Linked DNA regions of Rhinolophus ferrumequinum. The protein of the gene in region 3 purifies or fractionates together with the protein of the main gene of each other region. This does not show direct contact. Links are inferred from orthologs where the notes say so. Each region holds a gene or a part of one and is shown on either strand. Other genes may lie near its edges. The genes, in order: ARHGEF1, ARHGEF11 and GNA13.

What was found.
Region 1: the proteins of GNA13 (region 3) and ARHGEF1 purify together in Homo sapiens (affinity purification with western blotting; 5 studies listed by BioGRID and IntAct, with this or other methods). This does not show direct contact. The link is inferred for Rhinolophus ferrumequinum from reciprocal best matches to the Homo sapiens genes GNA13 and ARHGEF1.
Region 2: the proteins of GNA13 (region 3) and ARHGEF11 purify together in Homo sapiens (affinity purification with western blotting; 3 studies listed by BioGRID). This does not show direct contact. The link is inferred for Rhinolophus ferrumequinum from reciprocal best matches to the Homo sapiens genes GNA13 and ARHGEF11.

What each region holds. Positions count from the first base shown.
Region 1 is NC_046298.1:39,864,133-39,874,894, forward strand, and holds the start of ARHGEF1 (rho guanine nucleotide exchange factor 1), read left to right. Parts: upstream 1-6,168; 5' UTR 6,169-6,351; intron 6,352-7,451; exon of another isoform or gene 7,452-7,554; intron 7,555-10,569; 5' UTR 10,570-10,582; coding exon 10,583-10,615; intron 10,616-10,703; coding exon 10,704-10,762. Other genes in the region: CD79A (B-cell antigen receptor complex-associated protein alpha chain), read left to right, coding at 1,526-1,613, 3,239-3,538, 3,763-3,881, 4,469-4,537, 4,672-4,785. UniProt on the Homo sapiens protein: Seems to play a role in the regulation of RhoA GTPase by guanine nucleotide-binding alpha-12 (GNA12) and alpha-13 (GNA13) subunits. Acts as a GTPase-activating protein (GAP) for GNA12 and GNA13, and as guanine nucleotide exchange factor (GEF) for RhoA GTPase.
Region 2 is NC_046305.1:1,326,026-1,336,122, forward strand, and holds the start of ARHGEF11 (rho guanine nucleotide exchange factor 11), read right to left. Parts: upstream 4,159-10,097; 5' UTR 2,935-4,158; coding exon 2,903-2,934; intron 1-2,902. UniProt on the Homo sapiens protein: May play a role in the regulation of RhoA GTPase by guanine nucleotide-binding alpha-12 (GNA12) and alpha-13 (GNA13). Acts as guanine nucleotide exchange factor (GEF) for RhoA GTPase and may act as GTPase-activating protein (GAP) for GNA12 and GNA13.
Region 3 is NC_046304.1:45,087,013-45,097,441, reverse strand, and holds the start of GNA13 (guanine nucleotide-binding protein subunit alpha-13), read right to left. Parts: upstream 4,283-10,429; 5' UTR 4,050-4,282; coding exon 3,767-4,049; intron 1,311-3,766; coding exon 1,084-1,310; intron 1-1,083. UniProt on the Homo sapiens protein: Guanine nucleotide-binding proteins (G proteins) are involved as modulators or transducers in various transmembrane signaling systems.

The DNA.
Region 1 (10,762 bases), on a different chromosome or scaffold from region 3:
GTGTCACTCCCCTGCACAGTTCTACACCTTCACTACAGACGCACGTGTCCCTCACAGCAAATGTGTTGTTTTGCCTTTTGAAAACAAGTCAACTGTATCATGCTACAATATCTTTTTTCTCATTTTTGTGTTTTTTCCTCAGATGTAGCCTTGCGGACACGTGAAGCTCCACCTTTTCTCCTGCTGTGTACTGTTCCATTTGCTGACTGTACCATAATATGTATATGCATCCATTCTCCTATAAATAGGCTTTCATTTCCCCGTTTTTGCTACCAAAAATCTCCCTGCAATGCATTTTTTTTCCTGTGTGTCTTCGTGTGTGTGTGTGTCTGACTGTCTATGATGCTCCCAACTGCTCACAAACATTTCAACAATCTTATACTGTTCCCCATCCAAGCCCTCAGGACCTCGTTTTCCTCCCACTTGACCTAAAATAATGCTAAAAGGAACCTGGGCACACATAGTGACTTTGAATCCCTACTCCACCACCAGACGGTATAAAATTGGGCAAATGACAGTGACAGTGTCCCCTCTCTGGCCCTCAGTTTCCTCCTCTGTAAAATGAGGATGGGGGTTACCTGCCCACTTGTGGGGAAGCTGAAAGATATATCAAGAAGGAGCCCATCATGGCTGTAACTCCTTGGGTGCCAGGAACGTCATCTCATGTCACAAACGCCAGGGATATATTCTTATCCTCATCTCTTGGATTAAATGCTACGACTTGAAAAGGGAAGCCACCACTTAGTCATAGAGCCAGTCGCCTGCTTCATTTATTTCTCATGAGCATTAATACTGTGTCCCCAAAAATAAGACCTAGCCAGACAATCAGCTCTAATGTGTCTTTTGGAGCAAAAATTAATATAAGACCCGGTCTTATTCTACTATAAGACCTGGTCTTATATAATAAATATAATATAATATAATATAATATCAGGTCTTTTATTAATTTTTGCTCCAAAAGACGCGTTAGAGCTGATTGTCTGGCTAGGTCTTATTTTCAGGGAAGCACAGTAGTAACCAACATTTACTGAGCACCTACTATGTGCCAGGTGCTGTGTTCAGGGCTGTGCATCACAACCCCTTTAAATCCTCGTTTCCAGGCCCACAGAGTGAGGACAAGTTTTGCTCAAGGCCAGTAAGGGACAAAGACCGAGCTCAGAGTCACTACCCTGTGTGCCTACACGCAGCAGACACCCTGGATTCTGGCTCTTTCAGATGTCTGCTCTAGGGCTTGCCAGTGATGAGGCAGGCCTTGAACTGGCCTCTTCCCCTCACCCAAGCAACCTCCCCTCAGGGGAATTGTGGTCGCCACAGGTGCAGGGAGCAGTTCCTCTCCACTTACATCCTGAAGCACACTGGCAGGGGCTGTCCCCTGGCCTGACACTGAAGGGCCCAGCAGTGGGACCAGTGGAGCCAATCTCCGGCAGGGCTGGGCAGGAAGTGGGGTGGAGTTTGGGGCCCACTGAGGGGGGATCTGGTACCCCAGGACTGCTGCAGCCCAGACGAACCAACCCACGGGGAGAAGATGCCTAGGGGTCCCGGAGCCCTCCAAGCTTCACTTGCCACCGTCCTCCTCCTCTTGATCTCAGCCGCTGGCCTGGGTACTGGCCTGGGTATGTGGCTAACAGGCTGTTGCTGGGTGGAGGGGGGCAGTGACTGAGGAGGATGGAGAGAGGGCACAGGCAGAGGGAAGGGAGGCCAGGAGGGGAGTGGAGAGGAGCCAGCCGGAGGGGAGTTGGGAAATGCCCCTGTAGAAACTGCGTCTGTCTGGTTGACTGTTCCAAGCAGATCTACGGGAAGCTGGAAGGGGCTTGGTGACATTGAAGGGGCATCCACTGCCTCATGGATGGAGACAGGGGCTACAGGTGCCTTCCTCACCCCCTCCTCCCCACAGATCAAAATAAGGAACTAAGGTTGCACTTGACTAAGCTCCAGAGGTGGGGGCAGGATGAAATTTGGGGGAGTGCTCAGCTTCAGAGGGAAAAAAAAGCTTTCTCTTTCTCTGCCTTGAATCCCAGTCACCCCCCTACATAGGGACACCCTTCTCAGTGCGGGAAAGGGAAGGGTGGGGACACGCAGCCTCATGGCAACCCCCTGGCTATCTTCCCCCAGCGGTACCAGCTGCTGGCAGGGCTGTGACTACATATTTGACCGAGGAGTTCAGAAAGGCAGCTGATCACCCAAGGTTACACTGGGAGCCCAGATGGGAGCCTATGACCCTGAGCTTGCTGCCTCCTTCCCCACCCCTTCCTCCTTCTCTCTTCCTCACCTCCCCTTTCCCTCTCCAGAAGAGGCAGAACAGCCTTGTGGATTGGCCGGGGACACTGAAAACTGGGGCTTTTCCGAGCAGTCAGGCTGGGCCCTCTTGCCTCCCTCTCATCACCCATCCTGCTAAGGCCCTTCCCTAAACCCTCAGCCCAGTTCAAGGACTGAACTCACTGGACCCCCAGGCTGACACAAGCTACAGAGAATGAGGGGCAGCCTCAGAGACACAGACAAGGCAGACCTGAAGACTGGCAGGAGGAAGCCCGGGGGCCTGAGGTTTGAACCCCCAGCCACTCCTGCTATCCTGAGCCTCTGTTGCCCCACCTGAAAAATGGGATAATGAGAGAAACTATTTCTAAGAGTTTTGTGAAGATTACACAAGATAAAGTGCCAGGTGCAGGGCTGGACTGGGGCTGAGAGAGTAGACCAGGAAGGCCTTCAGGAGGAGGTGATGTCCAAACTGATTCTGCAAGAAGCTGCCTGGGCAGGGGCACTCTGGCACCAGGGAACCTAGTGTCCAAATGCCAGTGAGCTCAGTGGGACCAAAGCACAAAGTGGGTGTGGGGGAGGGTGGCAAGAGGTGGCTAGAGAGGGGAGTGGGGATCCCCAGGTGTGTCACACCCCAGGTATCTTACTCTCCTCCCCTAGGATGCCCTCCTCCCCCAAGGGACAAAGACCGAGCTCAGAGTCACTACCCTGTCTGCCTACACGCAGCAGGCACCCTGGATTCTGGCTCTTTCAGATGTCTGCTGTCTTGTGTCTTGTGTCTCCCCCGAAAGGCGTCTCTCTGTCCTCCCCTAGGTACCCCCTCATTCCCCCTCCCAATATCCTGTGTCCTCTGTCCCCCTCCCTCCTCCCCAGGAGTGTCCTCATACTCCCTCCACACACACACCCAGGGTTGCTGCAGTTGCAGGGGCCAGGACTGGGACCTATGTCCCCATCCAGAGTCCCTGACCCACCCACCTCCCCACAGGCCAGAAGACTCACACCCTGTCGGTGGAGTGGAGCCCACCCTCAATGACGGTGAGCATAGGAGCCAACGTTAGCTTCTCGTGCCGGTACAATAGCAGCATCCTTGGTGAAACAAATGTCACATGGTGGCGCAACTCCGAAAACAACAAGTGGTCAGCTCGGTTCTTTGGCGAAGGCCAGGGCCCCAGCAATGAACTGAAAATCTCATTGGTGAACAAGAGCCATGTGGGCATGTACAGGTGCCGAGTGAGAGTTGGCAAAGAGGTCCGGCACTCCTGTGGCACCTACCTCCGAGTGCTCGGTGAGTGGCAGTCCTGACTCCAGGGTCCCACCACTTTGCAGCTCGGGACTGCAGGCTTCCCATCTGTGAAGTGAGGACAGAGCCCGTGCCTGCCTGCTGGGTGTCCTCACTCCCTGCTCACACACACGGACCCATTTCTCACCTGCAGAATGGGGGCTTCAGTAGGGCCTTGCTGGGGGCGGGGCCGGGGTGCCAGGGCTCTGAGCAGCACTCCCTCCTCACAGAGTCAATCCCCAAACCCTTCCTGGAATTGGGGGAGGGCACCAAGAACAACATCATCACAGCCGAGGGGATCATCCTGCTGTTCTGTGCGGTGGTGCCCGGGACGCTGCTGCTGTTCAGGGTGAGCCCCCTGGGACGGGACCCTGGCATCTGAGGGCACCCACCTAAAACTTGGGAGGACTACGCACCCACCTCACAGGGGACTTGGGGGGTAAACGAATTAATACAATAATAGGGTTTTAAATGGTACTGTGGGCAGCTCCTTGTTCAGTCTCCCCTCAGGGCTGTCCTCCCTGCCCTTCTCTAGGGATGTTCTCACACTGCCCCCCGAAGCTGTCTCACTCTCACCCCCAAGGGTGCTATACTTTCCCCCTACCCAGGAGTGATGTGGCCTCCAGATGTAGCCAAGGTCAGGGAAGATGGAGCCCAGGGGTCCTCCCAGAGTCTCTGATACGCACAAGCCTCTCTCTAGGCCACAGGACAACTACAGCCATTTACTAGTTTTGTTGTTATTCGTGGAGAACAATGAGGCAGGGGAGAGAACCAAAAGGACACTGATTTGGACCCAGAGAGACCTGTCACTTACCCAATATGTGGCTTTGACAGTGTCCCTTACCAGCTCTGGTAAAGCACCTCCTGGCATCCAGGGGGTCCTACAAACATATTCTTCCCCCACGCCCCCTCACTGAGGCTCCAAATCCCCCACAGAAACGTTGGCAGAATGTGAAGTTCGGGGTGGACGCCCGGGATGACTATGAAGATGAAAATCTTTATGAGGTGAGTGGAGGGCAGGGACAGGTTAGGGGCAGGTGCATTGGGGGGGGGTCTCATGATGAGTCCTCATGGGGTTGGCTGGGGGCAGGGACCTAAGCATCAGGGCACTGAGGCCCACCAACACGTTTGCACCCCAGGGCCTGAACCTCGATGATTGCTCTATGTATGAGGACATCTCCCGGGGCCTCCAGGGCACATACCAGGACGTGGGCAGCCTCCACATCGGAGATGTACAGCTGGAGAAGCCATGATGGTGACCAGCAGGGCTGCCCCTGCCTGCCGTACTCCCAGCTCTGGCGTCTCTCCCCCTCCTTTGAACCAGTTCTTTTCACAATCTTTCTCAGGAGTGTCCTGCATCAACTTCCCTATTAGAAGTGTTCACTGCTTTTGCTCCCTCTAGATTGTCCCCATTCCTCCGCACAAACCTTCAGTGCTCCCTCTGCTGTCTTTCACAAACCTTCAGTGCTCCCTCTGCTGTCTTTCCCAGGCTCCCACCCACCCAGCCAGCAGGTAATGAGCCCTTAATCGCTGCCTCTAGGGGAGCTGATTATAGCAGCCTTGTTAGTGTCACCTCCCCCTCCCAGCTCTGTCATGGCCACTTAGAGATAATAAATCCTTCCCAACAGCAGACCTTGGCAGGAGTCATGGATCTCATGGGGACCGCCCACCCTCCTCCCCTGGGACCCAGGAGTCCAGGCCGCCAGCCCATCCTCCCTCAGACCCAGGATTCAGGGCCTCTGGCCACTGTCCACTCCCCACACCTTTGCTGCCCCCTGAGAGAAACAGGAAGTGTCTTGGGGAGGGCTGCACCCAAGGCCATGTCTGCCCTGAGCAGGAAGGGACAAAGGGGGGAATTGAGGTGACCATAATTATTTATCCCTATCTAAGTCCCAGAATCATAGGGGACGACCTGGTGGGGCTGGAACCAAATTCTACTACGGTCACACCTGTCCTCTGGGAGTGGATTTGTGGCAGGGGACTGGCCAGTCTGTGGCCCTAACTTGGGAAAGGTGGGGAGACTCAGGGTCAATAACAGACAGGCACAGAGATGTAGAGTTTCTGAGATAGAGAGGGAAGAAAGACTGAGACAGAGAGATAATGACAGAGATACTGAGAGAGAGAGAGACAGAAGGAAGAGAGAGAAAGGAAAGAAGGGTTCACAAGAAACACAGACACGGAGAGGGTGACCCTTGAGACTCCAAGGAAAGCAACAGGTGGGGAAATGACTGAGATGGCGATGCAGAGACGCAGAGATGGAAAGAGAAGGGCTCCGAGGGAGAAAGCGACAGAGACGGGGAGGGACAACGGGGAACCCGTGGAAAAGACCCCAGCGGAGAAAAGGGGAGAGAGAATCAAAGAAGAGGGCCATGGACAGAAATAGAGAGAGGAAGACCGAGAGACACACAGAGACGGAAAGCGGGCAAGTTGCTACGCAGACCCAGGAGGGCGCAGGGCGAGACTCGCCCCCAGCCCCGCCGGGAGGTGATGGCGGACAGACACCACGCCCTGCAGACAGACGGACATACCCTGCCGGGAGGGTCGGGCGGGGTCGGGGCGGGGCCGATGCCCTCGGATCCCCGGCGGAGCGGGGAAAGGCGGGGCCGGACGGGCTGCGAGAAGGGGAAGGAAGCGGAGGTGCCGGGCGGGCGCGGGGCGCAGGCAGGAAGCGGGGAGGGGCGGCGGGGCGGGGGCCTCCGGAAAAACGCCCCAACTTCCTGCCCCGCCAGAGCCAGGAAGCGGGAGCCGGGACACAGGGCCCGGGATCGCCGAGCCCGACCTCGGGCGCCCCGCCGGTCACCTCCCTGCGCGGACACCAGGTACACCGTCCGTGGCCCCGCCCGGCCTCCTCCCCTTGGCTGCTCGGGGAAGTGGGAGGAGGAGAGAGGGGGCTGGGGCGTTGCTGGCAGTGGAGGGGCCTCCTGGGGCACCCCTGAGTCAGAGACCGCCCCTCCCTGGGCCTCAGTTTTCCCATCTGTCAAAGGGGGCAAAGAGAACAGAACTAATACCCGCCGAGTGTCCAGCAGGTGGGGTGAGGCATGCGAGGCCGGGTCAAGGCTTCCAACTATCCAGAGAACAGATGATCACTCCCACTGTACGGGTGGGGAAACTGAGGCCCAGATAGCAGATCCAACTCGTCCCAGGGCACACGTCGTGAGACCGAGTGGAGTTGGGATTTGAACTCGCAGGTGCTTTCCGCTAAGCATCATCCTCCAACCCCGCATGCTTTAGGACCACCTAAAAAGAAAAACGACAGTTAACGTCATAGGCCGCTGTGAAGCTGAAAGTTGCGGAGCGCATTTGAAAGCGTTTCTGGGAAGCTTTTTCTGGGTCATTAATTATATCGAGAGCTGGATTGTAGGGCGTAGAGCTGGCGACTTTCCTCCATTGTATAGATGGGAAGACTGAGCGTTGGAAAGAAGTAATTGCTTACTCCAGGTTACATAGCATGTCAGAGGGAAAAGTACGCTTGAACTCAGGATTTTTGCTTTCCAGCCCCAGAGGAAAGTGTGCGGTGGTGGGGTGGGGTGGATGCGCAGAGAACTAATGAACGAGCGTTGGAAAATCAACTTTGGTCCCCCAGTTAAGAGAGGCAAAATAGGGCGGGGAACCCAGTCCAAGAACTAAGTAAGGGCCGTGGTAACTCGGAGATCTCAGGCTCAGTTTTGGCGTGGGGGGTGGAACCATCCTCACCTCAGGCCGCGGAGGTAGGGGCGGGGCAGGGGCGGGGTCCAGGGGAGCAACGGGAGCAGTCGAGATATGTAAACGCCAGACCTCCAAGGCAGGCCAGAGCGGCCCTATCTGGCCAGCGTGGCGCAGTGGAGCGCTAGAGCGACTGGCAAGAGGAGTAGAGTCGTCTGGCAGGAGGCAGGCTAGAGCGGCTGGCGGGAGGAGTGGAGCTGGAATCAAAGGCGGCCTCTGAGGCGGCTAGAGCGACTCGGAGGCGGGGGTGGGGGAGCTCCGAGCCGGTGCGCCGAGGCTTCGGTTCTGGCAGCTGCGGTGGCTTCTTCGACCCGGAGCAGGTGAGGGAAGCGGCCCCTGGCGGGTGTCAAACCCTGACTCCACACGTCTGCCCCAGCATCCCTGGCTGTACTCATTGCCACGTCCCCTATAGGATTTGGGGCCCGTGTAGACCCGCCACGTCCCATGTAGGTTTGGGGGTCGTGTAGACCCGCCACATTCCATGTAGAGTACAAGATCCTACAGACACCCCAGGTTTCTGCTGGCCCCCTGTGGAGACCCTGCTCCTTACAGACATGGAGTCCCCAACGAGCGGTAGTATCCCCTAGAATCCAGAGCCCTGTAGATCCTGGGTTTGGAGACCACCACACTCCCCTATGAAATTCTCGTCCCCTTTTAAGTCTCCAGAGGTCCCATAGACTGGCCACTTTCCCTATGGTTTCATGATCACGTGTGACCCCTGATCCTTGTAGGCCCACCATGTGTCAAATAGAACCTGAGGCTGTATACATTCCAAGGACCCCTTATGGACTCACCCTAACTATTCTGTATTTTAGGTTCTTTAAGGCTCCCAGAGGTTCTTAGGGACTAGGATCAGCAACTCAATATCTTATAGACCCTGAGCCCTGCATAGAACCCAAGTGCCCTTACTGCCTTCCACACGTGTCTGCTTTGCTGTAGGATCCCTACCTCTGAACTGACCCCTATCAGCCCCATGCACACAGTACCCCTCTGCTGGACTTCAGGCCTTGTCAGGTGCCTGTAAAGCCATCTGACAGCTTCAGCCTATCATTTCCCAGCCTTTGTGGCAGCTCCTCTCCCCCGCCATCTCCTGAGCAGCATGACCCTCCCCCCATCCTCCCTGAGTCCCAGACTCTGTGGAGCAGCCGAGCCCATCCTGTACTCCTACCCAGGCCACAGCACCCGCATACCCCTGACTTTCCAGGCCCATAAGGAGACCTGATGTGTCTTGGTTCTGATTTTAGTTTCCTAAGGTTGGAGTGGGGGGTTCCCCATGCTCTGAGGCAGCACATTCTGGTAGTTAAATGCATAAACTCTGAAGCCAGACCGCCTGGGTCTGAATCCCGGTTCTGTTCCTTATGAACTGTGCCTCAGTTTCCTCCTCTGTAAAACGGGCATAATAATAATACTGACCTCATGTGGTCACTGAGAGGATTAAATTAGTTAATACCTATAAAGCAGTAATGCTGTGCTTGGCACATGCTTAATGACACTTAATGCACATTAAGTGTTAGCTATTATTTTGTATTATTGTGACAGACAAAGAATAAAGGAGATAATATGTATCACGTGCATGATTTGGGGCCTGCCTGGCACTGAGCATTTGCTCAGATAACATGTATCCTCTCCTGTGCCCTTCTGGAATCTCCTTGCTTCTGTCGAACCTCTCCACCCCTAAGTGAGGTGATGATCATGGACCCTCTGTGTTCATGGTCATGTTTTCCAGCCCAGAAGTTGCAGCTGGCGGCCTGGTGAAGGTTTTCCATCTCTGATGGGAATAACAATAGCACAGGGTGGTTGTGGTTGTGAGGGTTAAGTGAGTTACTATGTGAGAAGCTCTCAGAGCAATGCCTGGCGCCCTGTAAGTGTTATGTAAGTTTAGCATTCATAATAAATAATTGCTATTATTTTTCTGCCTTGGTTTGCAAATTTATTTATGTGAATACTTAACAATGCTCAAATCTTAAATTACCCAAGTTTGGATATTTGACAAATACCCTTTATGCAACAGAATAAAAATGGTGCCTGCTCTGATGAACCCATGGGATAGCATTTGGACACTCCAGAAAGCATCATTGTTTAATGATCATAATCAAAATCATAGCTACTATTTATTGAGTGCTAGGGAGGAGGCCTGTGGAAGAGGGAGAAGGGTGGGTCTCAGGCAACTAGGGTTATAAATAGCTCTGGGCTGTGGGGAGAGCCCCCCACTGGTCCATTCCACCCATTTCCACAGCTCTTCCCGCCTGACACAGCTCGGGCTCGCGTGGCATTAGTCATACCAATTAAGAACACGGATGATTTTGGTGGGAAGACACAGGGAGAAGTGGAAACGCTAAGGGAGACGATGGGAGAGAGGCAGCACGTGAGCCAACAGCTCAGATCGGTGCGAGGACAGTGGCTGCAGATGGGGCAAGACAGAGGCAGGGACAGAAGCGAGGCAGAGGGCAAAGGCAGGGAGAAGCAGAAGTAGGGACAGGGTGGAGTTGGCTGACGGGGAGAGGAGGGAGGAGGGGAGGCAGAGACAGTGGGAAAAATGAGACAGGTCTGAAGGAAGGGAGAGAAAACGAGGAAACAGAAGACGGGCAAAGACAGGCAGAATCAGGGAGAGACAGCCAGAGTGCTGGCTGGGGGAAGCGGAGCTGGCACGGCAGATGGATGTAGGTGAGGGATACAGACACACCTTGGGGGATGAGCTGAGGACCGTTCCTTGTTTCCTGGGAGTGGAAGCCAGAAAGATACCAGGTCCCTGAGGAAAAGAACTTGTGGATCCGGGGACTCTTGGTCCCTGAGGGAAGAGAGTTCAGAGTGTTGTTTTCTTATCTGGAGAGAGTTGGGGGTTGAGGGGTTTGCCACTGTGATTTCCTGTCACAGGAAGTGGGGCTGGTGGGTTCAGAGGCAACATCCTGCCCCAAGCCTGTCACAGATCAGAGGAGCCCGAAGACACCCCACTTATCTCCCTCCTACCTCCCCTTTAACCTCGCCAACTCTGCTGGCCCCCAGCCACTCCTGCCTCAGAGCCCAGAGTCGGAGCCCCCAGCCCCTCCTGCATTAGGGACCCAAAACTTGCAGGCTGTCATGGCCACAGCTCTCCCCTGGACCCAGGCTCCTGGGCCTCCAGCTTCCCGCCCAACAAGGCTCCCTGTCCTTGGGCTCCCCGCCCTGGCTGGCCTCTGAAGGGCTCTTTGTCGCCACACAGAGGCCCCATTGAGTTGCGGAGGCCCAGATGGGGGAAGGCTGTTTACTCACCTTCACACCTGGGCCAGGAATCTGTGAGTAACCACCCAGTGCCACCTCCTCCCACCCCCTAACCTCCGCCCCTCCTCTTCCCCCAGCCCTGCAGAGCCCATGGAGGCAGAGGACGTCGTGGCCCGAGGGGCGGTGAGTGGACAGAGCCAAGGGTTGAAAGGACTGGGGGGCTGTGAGGTGGGGAGCACGGTGGGCTGAAGCCAAGCCTCCCCTTTTACAGGCCCCAGGGCCCCCCCGGCCTGGCCTTGTGCCCGTCAGCATCATTGGGGCCGAGGATGA
Region 2 (10,097 bases), on a different chromosome or scaffold from region 3:
AAAACTCATTACCATTCCATAAAAATAATTCAGTATCATTACCTCTGCTGGCAATATCGAACATCGTATTTTTAGAAACTTTGAGGAGAACAGACATTAATGGGCAACTAGGGGTCTGTCCACGGACAAAACCTGAAAGGAACACAAACAGCGATTCTTAGCCCATTTTTCATAACTGATTAACACTGAAAGATAAAGATGAGTCGCAAATACCTTGTGTTTCTTTGGACCCGGGAATCACTGCGGGTAAGATAAATATTCCAAAGCCTTCTTCACTCTGAGCCACTCTCTCCAGACACTGTTTCGTTCCAACATGCTGCCAACCTTCTGGAAAGTCCACTTCACCTAGAGCCTCTCAATTGACCTTCCTTTAGCTACACTTGAAATTAGCACACGAACATTGAAAATTCCCAAACGGGAGGATTTCTACTTGCTCACATGCTCATTCATTCCAAGCCTCTTTTGTCCACTGTGTACAGAAGGCCAAGGCGCTGGGCCCGGACAGAGCTGAGCAGGGCTGAGCAGACCGTCCTGCCAGCCTGCAGTTGACAGGCAGTGCTGCTGGCACGTGGGCCACAGGACCCCTGGACCTGCCCTAGTTCCCCAATTAGACTGACACTTGCTGTGAGCAAGAACTACATACTTTAACTTTCTAAAACTCTCACAGCACCTTACACCAGCCTTTCTCCACAGCAAATGGATAAATGAAAGGAGAATCCTGACTCCACAAGCTGGGCGTTTCCTTCCTCTCAGCCCCTCCAGTGTGGCCTAGACTGTGAATTACTTCAAATCCATAGGAGCTTGAACCTGAGATGTCAGAAGGTCCACCAGAAGGAGCCCACAGCTGACGGGGAAGATCGGGGTACAGAACCTTGAAGCGGGCCGTGCCTTGCCTAGAACTGATCCTCTAATGGCGAAGGGACGGGGTACGGAGAAAGGCGAGGAACGCTCTCACGCTGCAAAGCTGCATTATCCCACAGGAGAACTGCAGGTGCACACCCCAAGACTGTGAAAAAGCGCCAGGGACTGCTGAAGATCATCTTACCTACTACCAGAACGAGAATGGAGCAGTGCCTCCACCCGCCACGGGACCAGCATACACACCTGTTTAGACAGGTGGGCCACAAAGCGCCACGGGTTCAGATTCAGAAGACCTGCAAGTCTGACACCAGACAAGCCAGGTGTCCTCTCTGAGCCTCAATACCCGTTCTGTAAAATGGGAAGAATAGCCTCTGCTTTGTCTGCCTCATGGAAATACTGCGAGGCTCGAATGTGATATGTTCCTATGAAAGCACTTAGAGAAACGTACCATGCTATACAAATCCTGAGAACAGTGGGGCTATCCAAACTCCCAGAGGAACATGTCCCATCAGCGAAGGAACCCTCACTGCCCCGTTTGCACCCCCAAACACCCAGGTTTCTATCTTCTCACATCCCTGAATTCAGAGAAATAGTCCACCATCCAAATCTCCAAAAGGCAAGTGCACTAATTCCCCAACTCCAAGAGGAAGACAGGGAGGGCAGCCATGTAGCCGTCTTCAGCCCGGGCCGTGCCATGCCTCAGCTCTCCCTTTACAAGAGTCCAACTACAGAGAAGCCAACAAGAAGTGGAAGGATGGAGGTTTGAACCAGCCACGCGCACTTTCTGTTCTCTGTGGCTGTTTGCCTTCCCCTCTCCACTGCTAAGTCAGGTTCCTGTGTGGGGACTGCTGGACCCATCTAAGTAGGGCTCGGAGGCCATACAGAGGTCACTGTTTGGGAGAGAGAAATTATATGCACCTTAGGCCACATTCCAGAGCCAAAAAGAAATTATTCTTAGCATGGATTAGCAAAGGTTAGGTGGACACAAAGAAAGCAACTATTTCTTTGCAAACAGTCTTTCTTATCTCGCCAATACTATATTTCCAGGTCCAGTCCTTTCATTTGCTTGTTCAGTCCTGTCCAGTCAGAATGTGCGTGCAGTACCCACCAATGACCCCCTCCCGATTCTTACGGAGAAAGTGGGCGGACAAGGAGGGGAGGGAGGGAAAAGCAGATACCTTACCAAAGCTGTGAACCATTGTGTTACCAGTGACAAGGCTGGAGAGACTCTGGGGGGGTGGGGGGCTCTAAGGGCCAGTGCATCTGCCCATCAGGCCGAAGAGCCCCAAACAACTCCTTCCGGCTCAAGGCAGAGGGAAAGTCCATTTTGCAGAGTCAAGCTTATTAGAAACGCCTTGGAAGATTAAACCTACAGCATTAGCCGGTTGGCAGGTCTCAAGTTAAAATTTAACCTTGGAGAGGAAACAATTCTAAAGTGACCTGTGCATTTTGGGGCTATTATTAGCCACCGGTAAAAATCCAGCCCTGTAGGGGTGCAAAGGGTGTTTCTGTGCCATCATTCAGGCCACGACCATCGTCCTCATTTCAGACACTGGATCCACTCCACCACCAAACCCCACCATTCCACAACAACCAGCCCGGTGGAGGCCCACGCCCCTGCCAGGGCCCTTCCCCCAGCAGCTCCAACACCTACAGCCAATCCCAACCCACCCTTGCAGACTCAGACTTGTGCCCACCTCCCACCCGCTAGGCTGGCAAGTTAGGGACTCAAATTTAGCCTCCAGCCTGGCAAAAGTCAAAGCCGGCTGCAGGCACTTCCCCCCTCCTCGCTTCACTGTCTATTGCTTCAATTGAAGAAAAAAACCACTGACTCAGAAGACGTTTTGAACATGGACACACACAGGGAAGATAAACACACATGCCGGACAGTCCCCGCAGACCAGTGCCTGCTCCTACCTCCCCAACTCCCACTGCCCACCCAGACCCTCCTTTTGCAACCTTTGATCAAAATGCAACAAACACTCTCCCTCCCAGTGCGTCCTTAAGTAAGTATTGAAAAACCCATTATTAGCAAACCTACCTGTCTATACTCTGCGGTAACCTTACACTCATGGTTTCTCGGTGTCTCCACGGTTCCAGAGTCCTGTAGTTTTGACGTCTTGATCAGGATTGAATCCTCGCAATTTTTAAGAAAGGTGAGAGGAGGGCTTCCCAACTCGAAGACTGAATCCTCTGTCCTCCAGCTCTCAGGATCCTGGTAACTGAAGCTCCATTCTACTTCTACCAGTTAACATGGTCTCCTTTCTTAGACCCCCTTTCCCCTCCCCCCTCTTAAAAAGAAAAAGAAAAACGAAAGAAAAAGAGGAAAAACGATGACCTTAGAAACCAAAACCCAACCACAAATCTCTTCAAGGTTAGCGCTATGGGCTGAAAAAAATGAATCACAGAAAGAATATGCCTTCAAAATATCAGTCTTACTGCAAAATACAGATAAAAACCATCCTTTTAATCCAGTTTTCCCAGCTGTCCTTCTGTTGGCAAGAGAGCCTTAAGCTCCAAAGGGGGAAATTCTCTGGTCTCCAATGCTTAAAACGACAACAGATATATATGAGGGAACAACAACAAAAAAAGGATGAATAAATCCGAATTGGCACCTGAAAAAAAAAATCTTCCAGCTGATTTGCACGGTAAAAAAAAATAAATTAAACCATACAATAGTATGTACACAACAGCATTCCTTCCAAGTCCAGTGCGACCCTGGGAACCAAAATTATGAATTTCCTTTAAAAAACAAAAAAGCTTTTACATGAAAGGTTTTGAGATTCTGAAATGAGCCGATCGCACCCAAAAAAAAAAAAAATCAAAAAAAAAATCAGAGAACACCTGAAATGAAAGCTTTCTACCTTTAAAATGGTAGCAATCACCACAAAGCAGAGACCCTCTGGAAACCTCGTCCCCTTCCCTTTCCTGGAAGCGCGCCGGTTTCTGCGCCTTCCCGCCCGGGGCTCAGGCCCAGCCCGGGTTCGGCCTGCTTCGGGAGGCCGTTTCCTGAGTGGGTTCTGCTCCGCTCGTCCTCATCCAGGCTCCGGGGCCGGCCTCGCCTCCGCCCCCATGAAACGGGTTCCCGGCTCGCGTGCCGCACCGTCGCCCGGTCGCCCGGCCTGGCGGCCGCTCCTTATCCACAAGCCGGCTGAGTCCTGCGGGTTCGGTTCGGCTGGGATTCTCCTCCACACCCGCCTCCGGGCAAGTCCGACCGCCGGGCTCCCCGCCGCAGTCCGCCCTGCCTACCCGCGCGGGGCGCCGCCGACCTCGGCTCCAGCCCCGCTCGCCTCGGCGCGACCGCCGCGCTCCGGCCTGGGCGGCCGCGGGGCTCCGGGCTCGGGCGCAGGCCGGGAAGGCGGGCGTGCGGCTCCTTCCGGGCCCCTCACCCCTCGCTCGCCGCTCGCTCGGGCGCAGGCCCGGCCGGCCGCCCCTCCGCGCCCTCCGCCGTCCCGCGAGCCGTCTCCGTCCCTCGCTCGCGGGGGCGGGGCCGCAGGCTCCTCCTCCTCGCGCCGCAGCGGCGGGGACGACGGGGCGGCGGGGACGGCCTTTCTCTCAGGCGGGGCGGCCGGGCGGTGGGGACGGCTTCTCCCTCAGGCCGCGGGGACGGAGCGGCGGGGCGGCCCTTCCCTCAGGCCGGGCGGCGGGGCGGCCTCTCCTCAGGCCGCGGGGACGGAGCGGCGGGCGGCGTCTCCCTCAGGCCGGCGGCGGGCGGACCGCCCTCCCGGCCTCGCAACCCCGCGTCGGCGCGGCCTAGCCGGCCCGGTGCTGAGCGGGATCCACGGCTTTTCCCGGCGCGGCCCGCCGGCCCCGCCCCCGCCCCCGCCCGCTGTTCCCCTTTAACCGCCCTGCGCTCGCTCGAGACCTGACCTGTGTGCACCCCCCACCGGACGGGTGCCACCCCCTCCCCCGGGGCCAGGTGTCCCCCGTGCGTGCACCAGCGCCACCGCGCCGACCCACGCCGCTGCTCACGCTGCCTCCACCTCTTTGCTCATCGATTTTTCAGAAATCTGTCGCGGCCTCCTTCCCGGGTGTCAGGAACCCTGTTGACCGCCCGCCCCCCATCTCTGGGCCCCCCAGTTCTAACCCACCGACACCGCGGAGACACCCGTCGCTGTTGGTTCCGGCATCTTAACCCCCGGGCTGTGAGTGTTGGGACTCCATGGCAAAGGCCTTTCAAGGACAGTTCTGCTTTCATAACCCCCTCTCGTAGGCTCGCGGTGTCCAAATCTTTCCAAGTAACATGACATTAGTCAGAAGGTCCCCAGCGTTCTGGTTAAAAATAATATAGAAAGGAAACTGCCGCTAGGACTGGGAGGTGCTTCTGGAAAATGCCCTGCGGGCAGTGGCGCGGCTGCCGGTCCTCGGTCCACACCACCTTGTTGTCCTTGGATGGGTGAAGTGTGAGATCGTGTGTATTTACCCACACGCACACGCCAGCAGGAGGGAGCCGAGTGGCCCCTGCAGTGTTGGAAGTGGGTTTGCAGACAGCAGGAGGCAAGGGGACTAAGGAGCATCACGTGGGGCGGGGCGGGGGTGGGGGCGGACGGGACTTAGAATGATCAGGAACGTCCCCTAAACTATCCCAGGTGCTGGTTAGCCCTGAGAAGAAAGCCCCGCTGCCTTCCTTGCATCTCCACCGCACCGTGGCCGGGACTCCCAAAGACACAGGAAGTCCCAACTGCCCCCGACCTTGTTAATTCCCTTCCCATACCACCTGCACAATCGTGCTCCCAAATGTGACACTTCCTGTGGCCATAGGCCCACTACTAGTCGCCTTTTTTGTCATGCTTTCTTAACCTATGTAATGTTTTTTTAAACAGTTATTTACATGTATTTTATTACATACCTTATAAAACATGCCCAAGAGTAGAAATATTAAAAGATGGAAAGAAAGATGAAGTACGTGTGAAAAATCATACTGTTTAGTGGAAGTTAATGGCTGTCATAACGAAAAGATACTTGTCAGAGGTAGATCTAAAGGAAGAAGTGTGTCCTTGATTGCATTTATTAAATTATGGTACTTTCCAATCCCATTCATCACCGTGTTAAGGCTTTTAATTGAAGTTCAACTATTAGATTGGTGCAAAAGTAATTGCGGTGTTTGCAATTATTTTTAACCTTTTAAACTGCAATTACTTTTGCACCAAACTAATAGTAAACAAAATGCAAGTATTGACTTAGATCGTCTCCACAACCTTTTGAGTAAGTAATCATCATCCCCATTTTCAGATGGGAAACAGGCCCAGAGAGGTAAAATAAGTTGCTTAGGGTCACAGAGCTGGGAACCCACGCAGTCTGGGTCCAGAGTCTACTTAACTGTCAACCGTACTGCGTCTGTGTTACAGGCCCTATGCCAAGCATTAGGGGGAAGATAGCAGACAGGCAGGGCTTACTGAGGAGAAACGGGAGGGTGGGGCTGGAAGTAGAAGTCGGTGGTTTACTCCTCAGCCCTCCAGAGAGTTCTTTCTCCCACCTTGCAGTGACCTGCAAGTCTTACCTAGTGCTCTCGGTTCTTCGTCTTCTTTCTCAGTATCCCTGGAAATATCACCCCCAGAAATTTGCCCCCTCATCACTCTTGAGGATCTCAAGGCATTTAGTGGAAGAGGGGCTTCTCACCTTCACTCCCACTGAGGGGTGGTTTGCTTCATCTCCATCACCTCCCAGGTATGCACTCCAGCCTCCCAAGCTGATACCTTCCTGTCTTTGGTTACCCTAGAAACCAACTTTCTCCCATCAACACCCCTGTAGCTGAGACAAACTGAATAACAGGGAAGGTGCCAAGATAAATTGTAAAGGAAAATGTGTGAAAGAAAACCAGTTTTAGATTGAAGGCTAATATTTTGGGAAGTTGGATGTGTGTGTTATTTTTTTCCCCCTTGAATAAGTAAAAGTTCCCAGGATCAAATGTGAGATACAAAAAAGGTGAGATGCCAAAGGGAAGATTAAAAACAAAAAAACAGACAAAAAAAAACTTGCCCAAAGCCTGCTTTAAAAATTGAAAGAAAAGTGAAAAATGTCCTTTAAAATAAGAAAATTGACATACAATAAATTACACATACTTAAAATATACAACTTGATAAATTTTGACCTTATACACACATGAAACAATCACCACAATCAAGATAATGAATATATTTATTACCTCAAAACTTACTTTTGCTCCGTTCTAATTCTTTCCTCCCACTGGATTCCCTCCCCCCGTTGTAGTCCTTGGGTGATAGCTGATCTGCTTCTTGTTACTATAGTTTGCATTTTTTAGAATTTTATATAAATGAAATAATAGATTGTGTATTCTTTTTTGTATGACTTTTACTCAGATTCATCTATGTTGTCAGGTATAGAGTATATCAACTCATTGCTGAAGGGTATTTTTAAAATTTCAATTTCTAATTGCTTACTGCTAAGACAGAAATACGGTTATTTTCGTATGTTGATCCTGTATCCTGCAATTTTGCTAAACCCACTTATTTTGTAGATTTCATCAGACTTTTTATATAGATGATCATGTCTGAGAATAAAGACAATTTTACTCCTTCCTTTCCCATATGTATTTCTTTTTCTTGTCTTAGTGTGCTAGCTAGAACCTGCAGGGTAATGTTTATAGAACAGGTAAGAGCAAACATCCCTGTCTTGTTTCCGATCTTAGGAGGAAAGCATTTGTTTTTCCACCATTAAATATTATATTATTCATAGTTTTCTCATAGATGGTCTTCTATCATATTGTGGGTGGTTGTTTTTTATTGTTAGATGTTTGTATTTTTCCAAATTCTTTTTCTGGATTGATTGAGATGATCACATGGTTTTTCTTCTTTAGTCTGTTGATACTGTGGATTTTCAATTAACCAGTCTTGAATTTCTGGGATAAACACCACCTGGCTGTGATATATTAATCTTTTTTTGTTTTGTTTTTTTAAAGGTTTTATTGGGGAAGGGGAACAGGACTTTATTGGGGGAACAGTGTGTACTTCCAGGCCTGTTTTTCCAAGTCAAGTTGTTGTCCTTTCAATCTTAGTTGTGGAGGGCGCAGCTCAGCTCCAGGTCCAGTTGCCGTTTTCTAGTTGCAGGGGGCGCAGCCCGCCATCCCTTGCGGGCGTTGAACCGGCAACCTTGTGGTTGAGAGGACGCACTCCAACCAACTGAGCCATCCGGGAGCTCAGCGGCAGCTCAGCTCAAGGTGCCTTGTTCAATCTTAGTTGCAGGGGGCGGAGCCCACCATCCCTTGCGCAACTCGAGGAATTGAACTGGCAACCTTGTGGTTGAGAGCCCACTGGCCCATGTGGGAATCGAACCGGCAGCCTTCGGAGTTAGGAGCATGGAGCTCCAACCGCCTGAGCCACCGGGCCGGCCCATTAATCTTTTAATATATTGATTTGATTTGCTAAAATTTTGTTAAGAATTGTTACATCTATGTTCATTAGTCTGTCACTTTCTTTTCTTGTAATGTCCTTGTCTGGTTTTGAGTAATGCTGACTTCATAGAATGAGTTGGGAAGAATTCCCTTCTCTTCAATTTTCTGGAAAAGTTTGTGTGGAATTGGCATTATTTCTTCTTTAAGTATTTTATCGAATACCTTCCTCCTCCCCCCCAATGAAGCCATTTGGAGGAATTTTCTTTGTGGGAAAGTTTTAACTACAAATTAAAAAATCTTTTTCATAGGTATAAGGCTACCTGGATTATTTTTTTTCTTGAGTGAGTTTTGACGGATCCAGTCTTGTAAATAATTTGTCCATTGTATCTAAGTTGTTGAGTATATGGGCATAAAGTTATTTATAATATTCCCTTATTTTTAATATGTATAAAGCCTAGAGTGATGTCTACTCTCTCGTTACTGGCATTTGTCATTTTTTCCCTAACCAGTCTGACTATCGATGTATAAATTTTTTTTTTTTACACATAATTCATATGTTGAAGTGTAATCCCAATGTGATGGGTTTTGGAGGTGGGGTGTGAGATGTAACCAGGTCATAAGAGTGGAGCCCTCATAAATGGGATTAGTGCCCTAATAAGGAGAGGCCAGAGTAGCCAGCTCTCTCCTTCCACCATGTGAGGATACCAGAAGGTGGCCGTGGACAACGTGAAAGGGGGCTCTCACCGGAACCTGGCCAGGCTGGCACCCCGATCTTGGACTCCCAGCCTCCAAAACACACAGAGAAATTTTTATTGTTTAAGCCACCCAGTCTATAGTAGTTTTGATAGCAACCCACAGCGACTAAGATGGTTTCACTGACTTCAGTCTTTCATTCCCTCTTTGATTTAGCCCACTCTGATCTTTGTTATTCCTTCCCTTCTGCTGCATTGGGTTCAGTTTGGTCTTCTTTTTCTAGTTCCTTATGAGGTACAGGTGGACTTTTATGACTTACTTTGATCTCTCTTACTGGCTTATGGGCTGTAACTTTTGTTGCATGTTTATTTTATCACTGGCTACCTTCAAGTGATGATGTACCACCTCACACGTACTAATCGCCCAGCTTCTGTGCTGTTGTTAACATATACACATTTTACTTCTACACGTGGTGTAAATCTTACAGTACACTGTTATTTTTGCTGTAAACAATTGATTGCCTTTTAAAGAGATTTAAATAAACTAGTTGACTATATCTGGTGATCTTCATTCCTTTGTATAAATTGAAATTTTCATCTGGTACCATTCTTTCTGCTTGAAACATTTAACATTTTTTGTTGTGAAGATCTGTTAGCGATGAATTCTTTCAACACTTTTTATGTCTGAAAACATTTTTATTTCATTTTTGAAGGACATTTTTATGGGGTAAGGGGTTCTAGGTTGACATTTTTTTCTCTTTCAGTAGTTTAAAGATGTTCTGTCTTGCATTTTTTTATGATGAGAAATCTGCTGTCATCCCTATCTCCATTCCTCTGTGTGCAATGTGGCTTTCTGCCCCCTCTGGCTGTTTTTTAATGTCTTCTCTTTATCATTTGCCTTAAACCGTTGGAGTATGATGTGCTTGTAGTTTCCTTCCAGTTTCTTGTGGTTGGGGTTCATTGAGCTTCTTGGGTTGGTAGGTTAGTTTTCATTAAATTAAATTAAATTAAATATAGTCTTCATGCTTACCCATATCGTAACTCTTTCTGGCACTCTGCATTCCTTTGTGTAAATCCAGATTTTTATCTGGTATCATTCTTTCTGCCAGAAGCACTTCCTTAAATATTTCTTGTTGTGTAGGGGGTTCATTGAGCTTCTTGGATCTGTGGGATACAGTTTTCATTTAATTTGG
Region 3 (10,429 bases):
TTCTTGAACTTTTAAGAGCCAAAACTGCTTCTGAGTACAAATGGTAATAGGAAAGACGGCGGCTGGGTGTACATCATTTTGCAGCCACACCCCTAAATGTGGATTGCTTTAATGCTGATGACATCATCAAACAACTTTCTAAGCAGTTTTACTTATAACTGTCACTTTATTTTGATCATATTACAGTAAAACACTTCAGATCTGAACTACCTCCAAACTGCATACAGTCTAGATTGCTATCATTCCTGGGATCTTTCCGGTCTTTGGCAAATAAAACCCAGAATACAATCAAAGCATTCACAATTAAATTACAAAACACTTGATTTAAAAAAACCTATTTCAGTTATTATTTTTGTATCTTTCACTTGGATCGGATCCTTTCTCTTCCACCCTCTCTTCAATGCTCTGTAACAGCTACAACATTTATGGGTAGTCTTAAGACAAAGTAGAAAAGATAAATATAAAATAAATTCTAGGTGCTTCCCATGTGAAACAAAGGTCCAAGAAATAACTAGGATTTTTCTGTTTAAGAAGGAGCATTTTGTTAAATGTGCCTAGGAGGCTTCAATAAAAACTCATGCAAAAGCAGAAAGCAAATACAGAAAAAGCACAATGATTGTTAAACATTAAGGACTTTAATCTCTTCTATATTAATCTGTACCATAAAATGAGTACCTCTGAAGACTAAACAGCACATTTGAATCTAGTTCAGTTATTGAACTCTTAGTCCAAGAGTAAAAGGTCGGTTTCTTTTTTTTAAAGGGATGAATATTATTGCTATAATTGGGAGGAAATTATTTTCAAAAGGAGAACAAAATTAGAAGTGCCTATGAAAATCATTCTGATCTTACTTTCAAAAAGAAAAATGACCAATTAAATATAATAGCTTTATCGAATCTATGAGGTTTACCATATTTTTACCTTGCTTAGTAAAAAGGTCATCCACAGAGCAGTCCCAATTTCTGAGGCTAAAATTCTACACAGATACATTGTGGAAGTCAGTGAAAAGGGGGTGTTAGACTCAGACATTAATAAATGTCATTAAAATAAAATCATAACATTGTAAAAGAGCAAATCTCTTACCAGTTGAAATTCTCGACGCCGGTCATAGGCGTTCTGTATGCCGCTGTCTGCCCACAATGCTCTTATAGCAGGAAGATATTGTAAAAAAACTCCAGTTTCCACCATTCCCTGGGCCGCCAGGGAGGACCGGGTGTCAAATGACATCATCTTGTCTCCATGGACTTGGTTTGAGTTATCTCCCCAAGGAATATGAAGCTTCTCTCGAGCATCTACCAACACCCTCATACCTTTGTTAAGGGGGGGAAAAAAAAAAGTGTGATAGGAGTCATTAGATATTCTCATAGATTCTATTCCAGTAATATTTTCTTAACTGTCTTAAGTACTCCAGGCCCACCTCCTCCAAAAATGGAGAACATCAAAAGACACGCATAACTTCTCTGAGCTTAAAAAAACTGTTATTCACAGTTACAAAAATTAGAGCCTTGGAAAGCATATACTATCAAACAAGTGCTCTTTCTGAAAATTTTAACATGTTCTAATTTATAAAATAACTTTGGAGTAGAAGGTAGTCATGAGAAAACCAGACCTAGTGAAGAAAAAAGAAATTAGGCTGCATAGCCTAATGTTCAGGCTATGAAGCAAACGGCTACAACCAAGATTTTTTAAGCCCCTCAAAAAGACATTTATTTATAAAATGCCAAGAACCAAACATTATCGCTCTATGTTCTGTTTGGTCCTGGAGCACCCTGCTTAACGCAACACTGAGTCTTCTAGAAACACATTCAAAACTCAAAAAACTTGTTCCATACTAAGTTTCAAATCAGTGTTAAGTCACAAGACGGCCTTAGATTTCCCTAAAAGAGAAGAAGACCAAATGCAAAAAACATGTACATAAAAACAGAAATCTCAACTCAGAGATTGGTTCAAACCCAGTATTTCTATCACTAAACTGTTACCTTTGGTCCATCTTAACAGTCACATGATTATCAAGAAGTCATTTGTTTGGATAACTGAAACACTTGTTTTGCTGTTAATTTTCTGATCATGCCAACTCAAAAAAAGTTATGTATCTAGTGATTTACTTCATCTCATAATCAATGCTCAAAGTGGGTCACACTTAGGACCCAGGGCACAGTTAAGAACCAGGTGTTTACCTGGCTCATAATCAGTTAACATGTTGACTCAATTCACTGACATAATTCCTTAAGTTCAGCTACATCAGGATACAAAGGTACCTTCAATTAAGGACTGGCAAGGCGGAGTCTGCGGCCTTGAAAGAGACCTTAATTAGTTTTGTGCTAAACATTAAGATAGGATAAATACAACCGTTCTGTACAGCTTAACTGCAGTGGCACTAGGGCTCGGAGCTCCCTGTGGTCTGGAGCTTACAGCCTAGTGCTCTTCTCCCGTCATTACCCCACAATCCTTGCCCCCCAAACAGTTCTCCTCTACTCAGTCCTGGGAGGACAAAAGTGAGCCCAATGAGTTGCTTGAGTACTTCCTGAACAAACAAACAAAAATGACCGAAAAAAGCACTGCCTGAAAAGACCTGAAATCTGTTACAAACTCCTAGATAACTGCTACAAAGATGAAAGAATCTGGATACACCTGAAGTACCAGGCTGTGTATCTCAATTTGCCAAAATGTCTTTTATAAAGTAGAAGATATCTGATACTATGACAAGTGAGTGCTAATCACCACCAAAAGACAAAATAAAAACCATCTTGTCTAATTCTTTGAAAGCCCAGAAATAAAATTCTTATGTATTTTTCACTTAAGAACAAAGTTTAATTTTAAAAATATTGTCCAATAAAAGCCGAGTTTAGATCCAAGCTGACACTGATTCACTGACTACCTGTACAGGCTCCACATCCCTATTAGGCCAAAGATTCTTTACCTGAATGCACAATTTCATTTAAATAACAGAAGCAAGTGGGGGTACACACCCTCCCTCCCACCCCCAGGCATTAAGCAAAAATGAGAGTGGAACGTGTTGCATAGTGATTACAGGCAAACATCCTGCCTGACCGTGACCGAGGGGCGAAAAACCACTGATGTTAAGTTTTGCAGACTAAACTGCACGGGTCTCCTCTTCCCTCATTGCCAGCACAGTAAACATGACACCCTCAAGTTTCATATCCTTGCTCAAAAGGGCCTAAGGGCTGTCACCATTCGCCCTTGACAAGAATCTCCGGCAAAAGTTTCCTTATTGTGATCGTGCAACTCCTTTGCTCAGGAGGCGGCCAAGGAAGCAGGGATTTGGGAACAGACCGACTCCATGCGACTCGGGTCACCCACCCCGGGCGGCGAGGTTGGGCAGGCAGCGCGGGGGGCGGTGAGTGGGGGTGTAGGGTCTGAAGCTGGCTCTCAGGTCTTCCTGCCCCGTCTGGAGGGAAGACAGGCGAGGACACCCTGCACTCTGGTGCACTAGGTTCGCCTCACTTCCCTCTCGCAGGGGGCGAGGCCAGTGGCGCGGTGGGGGCTGGGGGACCAGACGTGCCCCCTACCCGGGAGTCAAAGTGGAAAGCGGGGCGCCCCGGGTATCCCCTCCCCTGGGGGACGAAGGCCCCAGGGGCAGGAAGGGCCAGTGCCCGGGGCGCGCCCCCATCCTGCCCGCCCGCTGGGCCCGGTCCTTCGCCGGGGACTGAGCGAAGGAGGGCGGTGCCCGGCCCCGCGCGGGTCACCGCCGGCCCCGGCCGCAGCCCCGACCCTCGGTCCCCCGGCTCCGACCCTCGCCCGGCACCTTTGATCACGTTGCTGTAGATGGTGGGGCGGAACTCCTCGCGCGCGCGCTGGTCGAAATCCTGCCCGTGGATGATCCGCATCTGCTTCAGGAAGGTGGACTTGCCGCTCTCGCCCGCGCCCAGCAGCAGGATCTTCACGAGCCGCTTCACGTAGGTCTTTTCCCGGGACAGGCATTTGTCGATCTCCTTGGACTTGCGCTGCTGCTCGGCCTCGCCGCTCGTCAGCACGCAGCCGGGGAAGCACACGGACAGCACGGACCGCGACGGCAGGAAGTCCGCCATCTTGCCGCCGCCGCCGCCGCCGCTTCGGCGGGCCCCTCCGGCTCCCTCCACCTCCTCCTCGGGCGGCGGGCGACTCCGGCACCACGGGCTCGAGGGCGGGGAGCGTTGTGGCGGCCCGAGCGCGCCGGGGGAGGGAGGGAACGAGCGAACTGACTCGCAGGGCGGGCCGGGCAGGGCGGGCCGGGCGAGCCAGGAGGGAGGGAAGGAGGGCGGGCCCGAGAGGGGCGGTGGCCCCGGCGCGTGCGCGCGCCCGCTGCCTCCCGGGGGCGCGCGCGCACGCAGCAGCCGCTCCCCCGCCTCCCGCCTTTTACGGGCGAGTTACGCTCTAGCTCGCGTACGCGCGGCCGCTGGGGTCACGTGACCTCCGGTAGGGCCGGGCGTGAGCGTGCGGCGTCCGACTTTCTGTTTTCCTTTAATTAGCTGCGCCCATTCCCGGCAGAAGGGCTACTTTCCTGCGTCCTGGAGGCCCGAGACACGATCTCAGACACTGTCCTTTGGGCTCCCTAACTGTTCCCGCCCCTCTTTCTCACAGGTTTCGTGCCCTCCGCCTGCTGTCACCGTTCGCGCACCTTATTTCCAAGCTTTTGGCTGGAAAGTTATTTAGACAGCGGGCGCGAGCCGGGAAGGTTTGGGGTATATTTTCAAAAATAAGGTGGTTTCGTTCACAGCCTGGTCTCCCAAGCGCCGAACGATAACCAAACGTCATCAATACACCCACCCAACTATTTTTGGCATTCTTATACCTCTGCAAAGACCACACACACACCGAGGCAAAAGAACGAGTTGAAGTTAATCTGAGATGTGCTAGGAGGGGTTGTTAATATCTCACTGTGGATTCCCACCCGAGCTGCCGCGATGAAATCAGTGGATGGTAGCTGCAGCAGGGTGAGATCATGGTGAAAATCCCCCTAAACCGGACACTGTGATGCAGACTCTTCCCTACAAGGAAGCAGATAAGCAAACAGACCGAGGACAAGAGCAGGCAAATTTTAGGTTTCCTGCCAGATTACAGAGGATATGACCAGCCAAGGGACTTTTTTCTGTTCTAACAGCAGATTTAGGCCAGGACACCTGAAAGGGCTGCCAGGAGACAGGTAACAAGTGACAGCTAGGAGAGAGACTGCCATAGCAAGGACCCCGGAAGCCTCCTTTTTCATTTTTAGTATTTAGTTTCAAGTGGTAAAAACCATTTTGGTCTGTCTCTCTTTTTGGCAGTGCAACCATAATACTTTTGATTTGGGCTCCTGTAGCTCAGAAACTAGAACCTATCGGGGCAGTTGAGGTAAGAGGTCAGCACTCTGAGAAACTCATGAAACAGGTTTAAATTAAAGAAATAAAACTCAGTGCTAATCAAGTGTACTGTCAGGGTTGGGTTCATGGCTGAAGAGCCTCATGACTCAGTAAATTGGCTGCAGTGAACAATGCCTGTAGCAGGAATATCTCCACTGGTCCTGGCAAATGCCTATAGGGTAGACAATCTACGGTATACACAGTGGGGTAGATTCAACTCAGTATCTGTGGATTAATAAGGTCGGAATCACTGGGTGATGCCTTCAGGCAAAATGCTTGGTAAAAGCCTACCCTGAATAGAAGATCTCTCTATTGTCTCAGTTGATGTTCAGGAGGCCCTGTTCTTCAACCATGAAAAGACTACCCACAGCCCAGGACTGGGGCCAAACATTGGCGCCCAAGCATCATTTCTACAGGGACTCCAGATTCTCATCTGAATGTTTCTGCAAAAATGGGAGGCAGGAAGCCTGTAAGTTAGTTAGATCGTTAACCTTTTTCTTTTTCCAAAAGCATGTGCAACATAATAGAGAACCAAGGATGCCTCGGAGGCAGGAAGGTATTCCTGCCCGGCCAGTTCATGTTGTGACATGTAGAGCAGCAGAGAAAGCTGTTCAAAGCCTGTACTTGTGCTGGAACAAGCTTGGCTCAGATCGAGCCTAGCTGCTCTAATCAGTTTTTCTGAAAAAGAGACCTCTTTGGACCTAGACTGGAGTTTGGCTGCAGCGGTCCCACTGCTTCCGTCTCGTACGTAATTAAGCCACCTTAAAATTGTAAGCATAAAAATGAGTTAGAGGTGTAGTGGTTCCTCAGAAGGTTAAACATAGAATTGCCGTAGGACCCAGAAATTCCACTCCTAGGTATATACCCAAAAGAAGTGAAAACAGGTGTTCAAAGAAAATATTGTACACCTATGTTCATGGCAGAACTATTCAGAATAGCCAAAAGGTGAGAATAACCCTTATATCCATCAATGGATGAATGGATAAACACACTGTAGTATACCTATACAATGGAATTATTCACCAAAAAAAAGAAATGAAATACTGATATATGCTAAAGCATGAATGAACCCTGAAAACATGCCAAGTGAAAAAAACCAGACACAAAAGGCCACATATTTTAAGGTTCCATTTATATGAAGTGTCCAAAATAGACAAATCCATAGAAACAGCAGATTAGTTGTCAGGGGCTAGGGGGAGGGAAGAATGAGGTAATGGTTGCAGAACGTCGTGAATGTACTAAATTCTCCTGAATTGTCCACTTTAAAATGATCATATGATGAATTGTGTGAATTTTATCAAATGATGAGTTATGTGAATTTTATCACAATAAAAAAATGAGGTAGGGAAAATAATATTTCCCATAAAAGTCATCAGTATCATTTAACACTGAAGTACCTGCAGTGTTCAGTATTCAATAAATGAAAGTGTGATTGTATTTGTTTTAGAATAACACTAACAACTTAAATCATTTGCACCAGAAGCTAATCTACTCTAGCAGTATCTATCGATTGATAGGGTCAGAATTATCAATTAAAATATCATTAATATTACAACGTAACCTGAATGCTTCAGGTTATATTGTAATGATATTAGTGATATTTTAATGTTCAGATAAATTTTTCATACCTGAGAAAAATCCAAACCTTTTAAGGGAATATAGAGTCTCTTTGTTAGAATTGAATCTGCTGGGTGCTATATTTCCAATAGATCCCGACATTAATTCATTGGAAACATCTGTATTGCTCGCCAATTAATCCATATGCAAATGAGGGATTCAGATGACCCTGGGAGCTGTGATAAAATGATTGAAGTGTTGATTAGTTGCAATGCTCTTTTCTTTCTGGAAGCTCAAAGTCTAGTGCCAAACAGGCCTGCAGGATAAATAATGAAGGTATGACTAAAAATGTAGAAAAACATTTCCAAATGGCTTTTCTCCTTTCATGTGGTCACCTTAAGATGGAACACGCCCTTTCAAACAATACTGCTAATTCTTGAAATTTTCTCTTCGTAACTCTTCTGTTGGAACTGAAAGAAAGATAGGCTTCCTATCTCCTAGTCACAGCTTTTTTTCAGTTTTTTTTTTTTTAATGGTATTACTTAGCTCATTTATCAACCTTTATGCCAAATAACTTTGGCCTGTTTACAAAGTCAATATTATTCACAAAGGACACAATTTTTGTCACCCTCAGACATATTCAAAGGATATACCAGAGTCTCTAGGAATAATTCCAAAAGAGGAATTAAAACATTTTTTGCCTGCCAAAGTGACTACTCACTACTCAGGATAGGACAACACCCATTTAGATATGTTTATTTAAAAATCAGTCACATTGCCTGATGGTTAAACCTTGTGTTAATTTTCTAAGGATGATGACACCTCCAGATTCTTGTTACACAACTCTGTGGTCTCATCATCAATATAGGATAGGTGGATTCTAATCCTTCCTTACAGCTAAAACAAGCATGGACGTTTCTTAGCTTCCTTTCCCTAGCAGAAGAGGAAGGGAATTCCCTAGCCCTTTCATAATACAAATCCCTTACATTTGTGTAATGTTTTAAACGCCTCAAAGCCAGCACTTAGACCTACTTTGTCTCATTCTGTGCTCATGATAGCCTGATTAAGATCAACCAGCATTAACCTCACTCCCATCTCTGCACACAAGAAAGCTGATGGGCACAGAAGTTTAAGTGACTAGTTCAAAGCCTCACTCAGCCTGGCTGGTTGCAGAGCCAAGACTAGATGCTCCCTCTTTTGACTCTGAATCCAGTGCTCTTTCTGATAAGCCAAAATTGTCGTAGTGTCCCAAATGCCCAGGTGTATGAAGTTCAAACTTAAGAAACAAATAGCTAACTGAGGTACCATAGAGTCCAGTATGATTCGGTTGGTTGGTTGGTTGGTCTGTTTTTCCAGCCCCTTTCGGAGTGACTGCCATCTCGAAGCTTACCAGCTCTTAGGCTGATTCTGGTAAGATGTTCCATACTTTGAGCTCAGCCTCTGGTTTCTAAAATGTTCCAGATGGCATGTAGAAATAATAAAAGAGGAGTCAAGCTTATGGCAATATTTACACGGTGCATAAGCCCCAGACATCCCCTGAAGGTGAGTTAAATATGACAAGGCAACTTTTTTGTAATGAAAATTGATGGTGCCTTACCAAAATAAGCCTCTCATGTGGAAAGTTTTGTGTGAAACTAGGCATGTGGAATTGCATTGTTGGTGGATTTTTTTGCTGTTGTTATTAATGGAAAACATGACTTTAATTACCGGTTACATACTTCTCTCAGCCTCCAAGAACGGTCCATGAGCTGCTGATGACCAGCTGTGACCTCACTTCGGTTTATTCCAACTAGAAGCCTGTGCTGTCCGAAAGACACACACCAGCACGCATAGGAACGCTTACACCTTGCTTACTGCATCGGCCCCGTTTATGGGCAATCTATTTATATAACATTAAGCACAAGGCTTTGCCTGTAAATCTGACATTCTTTCTGAGAAATTCAAAACATCCTGCTCAGTCCCTCTCCTTTATGTTCCCTTACAGCTATTAAAGATGAGGGATACTTTTTATGTTTTACTACCCGTAAATCGGCTGCCCCTTGCCAGAAACAGTCACAGTTCTTTAACATAAATTCTGTTTCTCCAGGGAAGTTTAAGCCTGCAAGAGTCTCAATTTATTCCTGTGTCTTAAAATACCTCTGCTCCCAACCCGGCAACAGAAGTTTTCTTTCCCTCGGAACACTGGGTTGGCAAGCTTGGACCTGCCATTTCCAGGAACCACAGTCCTGGCTAGCTAGCTAGCCAGGTGGCGTCACATGTCACAGCCTGTAGTCCTATCGTTTGTCTCACTATAAATGCCAGGGTATGTCAGATGGTCGAGTTGACCGTTAAGCAGTAAAGGCTCACCCAGGGGCCCTGAGACGTGGCCCACGTGGTCTTTGTCAGACTGTAGGGCAGGCTGGCTTCCGAAGCAAATAATGTCATCAATGTATAGCTCTAAACTCCTGTGTTAGCTGCTAAAAAAAGAAGGACCAGGTCGTGGTAGCACTCAGGGAAAGGCAGCAACTGCTGAGTCAGAATCACAGAATTTGGGCCGGCCCGGTGGCTCAGGCGGTTAGAGCTCCATGCTCCTAACTCCGAAGGCTGCCGGTTCGATTCCCACATGGGCCAGTGGGCTCTCAACCACAAGGTTGCCAGTTCAATTCCTCGAGTCCCGCAAGAGATGGTGCAGGATGGCCCTGCAACTAGCAACGGCAACTGGACCTGGAGCTGAGCTGCTCCCTCCGCAACTAAGACTGAAAGGACAACAACTTGAAGCTGAATGGCACCCTCCACAACTAAGATTGAAAGGACAACAACTTGACTTGGAAAAAAGTCCTGGAAGTACACACTGTTCCCCAATAAAGTCCTGTTCCCCTTCCCCAATAAAAAAATAAAATAAAATAAAAAATAATAAAAAATAAATAAATAAATAACCTTTAAAAAAAAAAGAATCACAGAATTTGATGTCTAGGAAATGCTGCACTGTCGCTGAGGTTCCCTCTCTTGCTTTAGTTATTAGCTTTCTCCTGTCTGTGGGAGGGTTAGGTCAGGCCAACATATGAAAAAGATGAGAGGAGAAAATAAAAGCAAGAGGAAGCTGCTCCATATGTGTCAAGTGAATTTCACACATGTGATTGTATTCCCTTTCTTTGCTAATAAACAGAATTATAATAGCAAAAGGTCCCTTAAGTAGTAAGGTGATTTACTTTTCTGTCTAAACTATACAAATGGTATCAGATTGTTTGCTAGTCGTTTTGTTTCCAGAGAGGGAACAGAATAATAGCGTGGTGGCGGGAACTTGATAAGAACTCGGTTAACATAGGTAAGCCTTGCCTTTCATATCTGTAAATTGGGAGTAGTTATATAAAGATTTGTTGTGAGGATTAAATTATAGAACAAATGCACTCAGCGTCTGTCCAAAATGAGAGGTTCGGTTTTAGACTATTCGAGGAAGGAGCAACCAGACTTCAATAATGTCATAGCCAGCTCGTTCTCTTATATCTTAACTGAATCCTTCTTCTGCGGTTTAAATGTATCTCATCTCTTTCCTA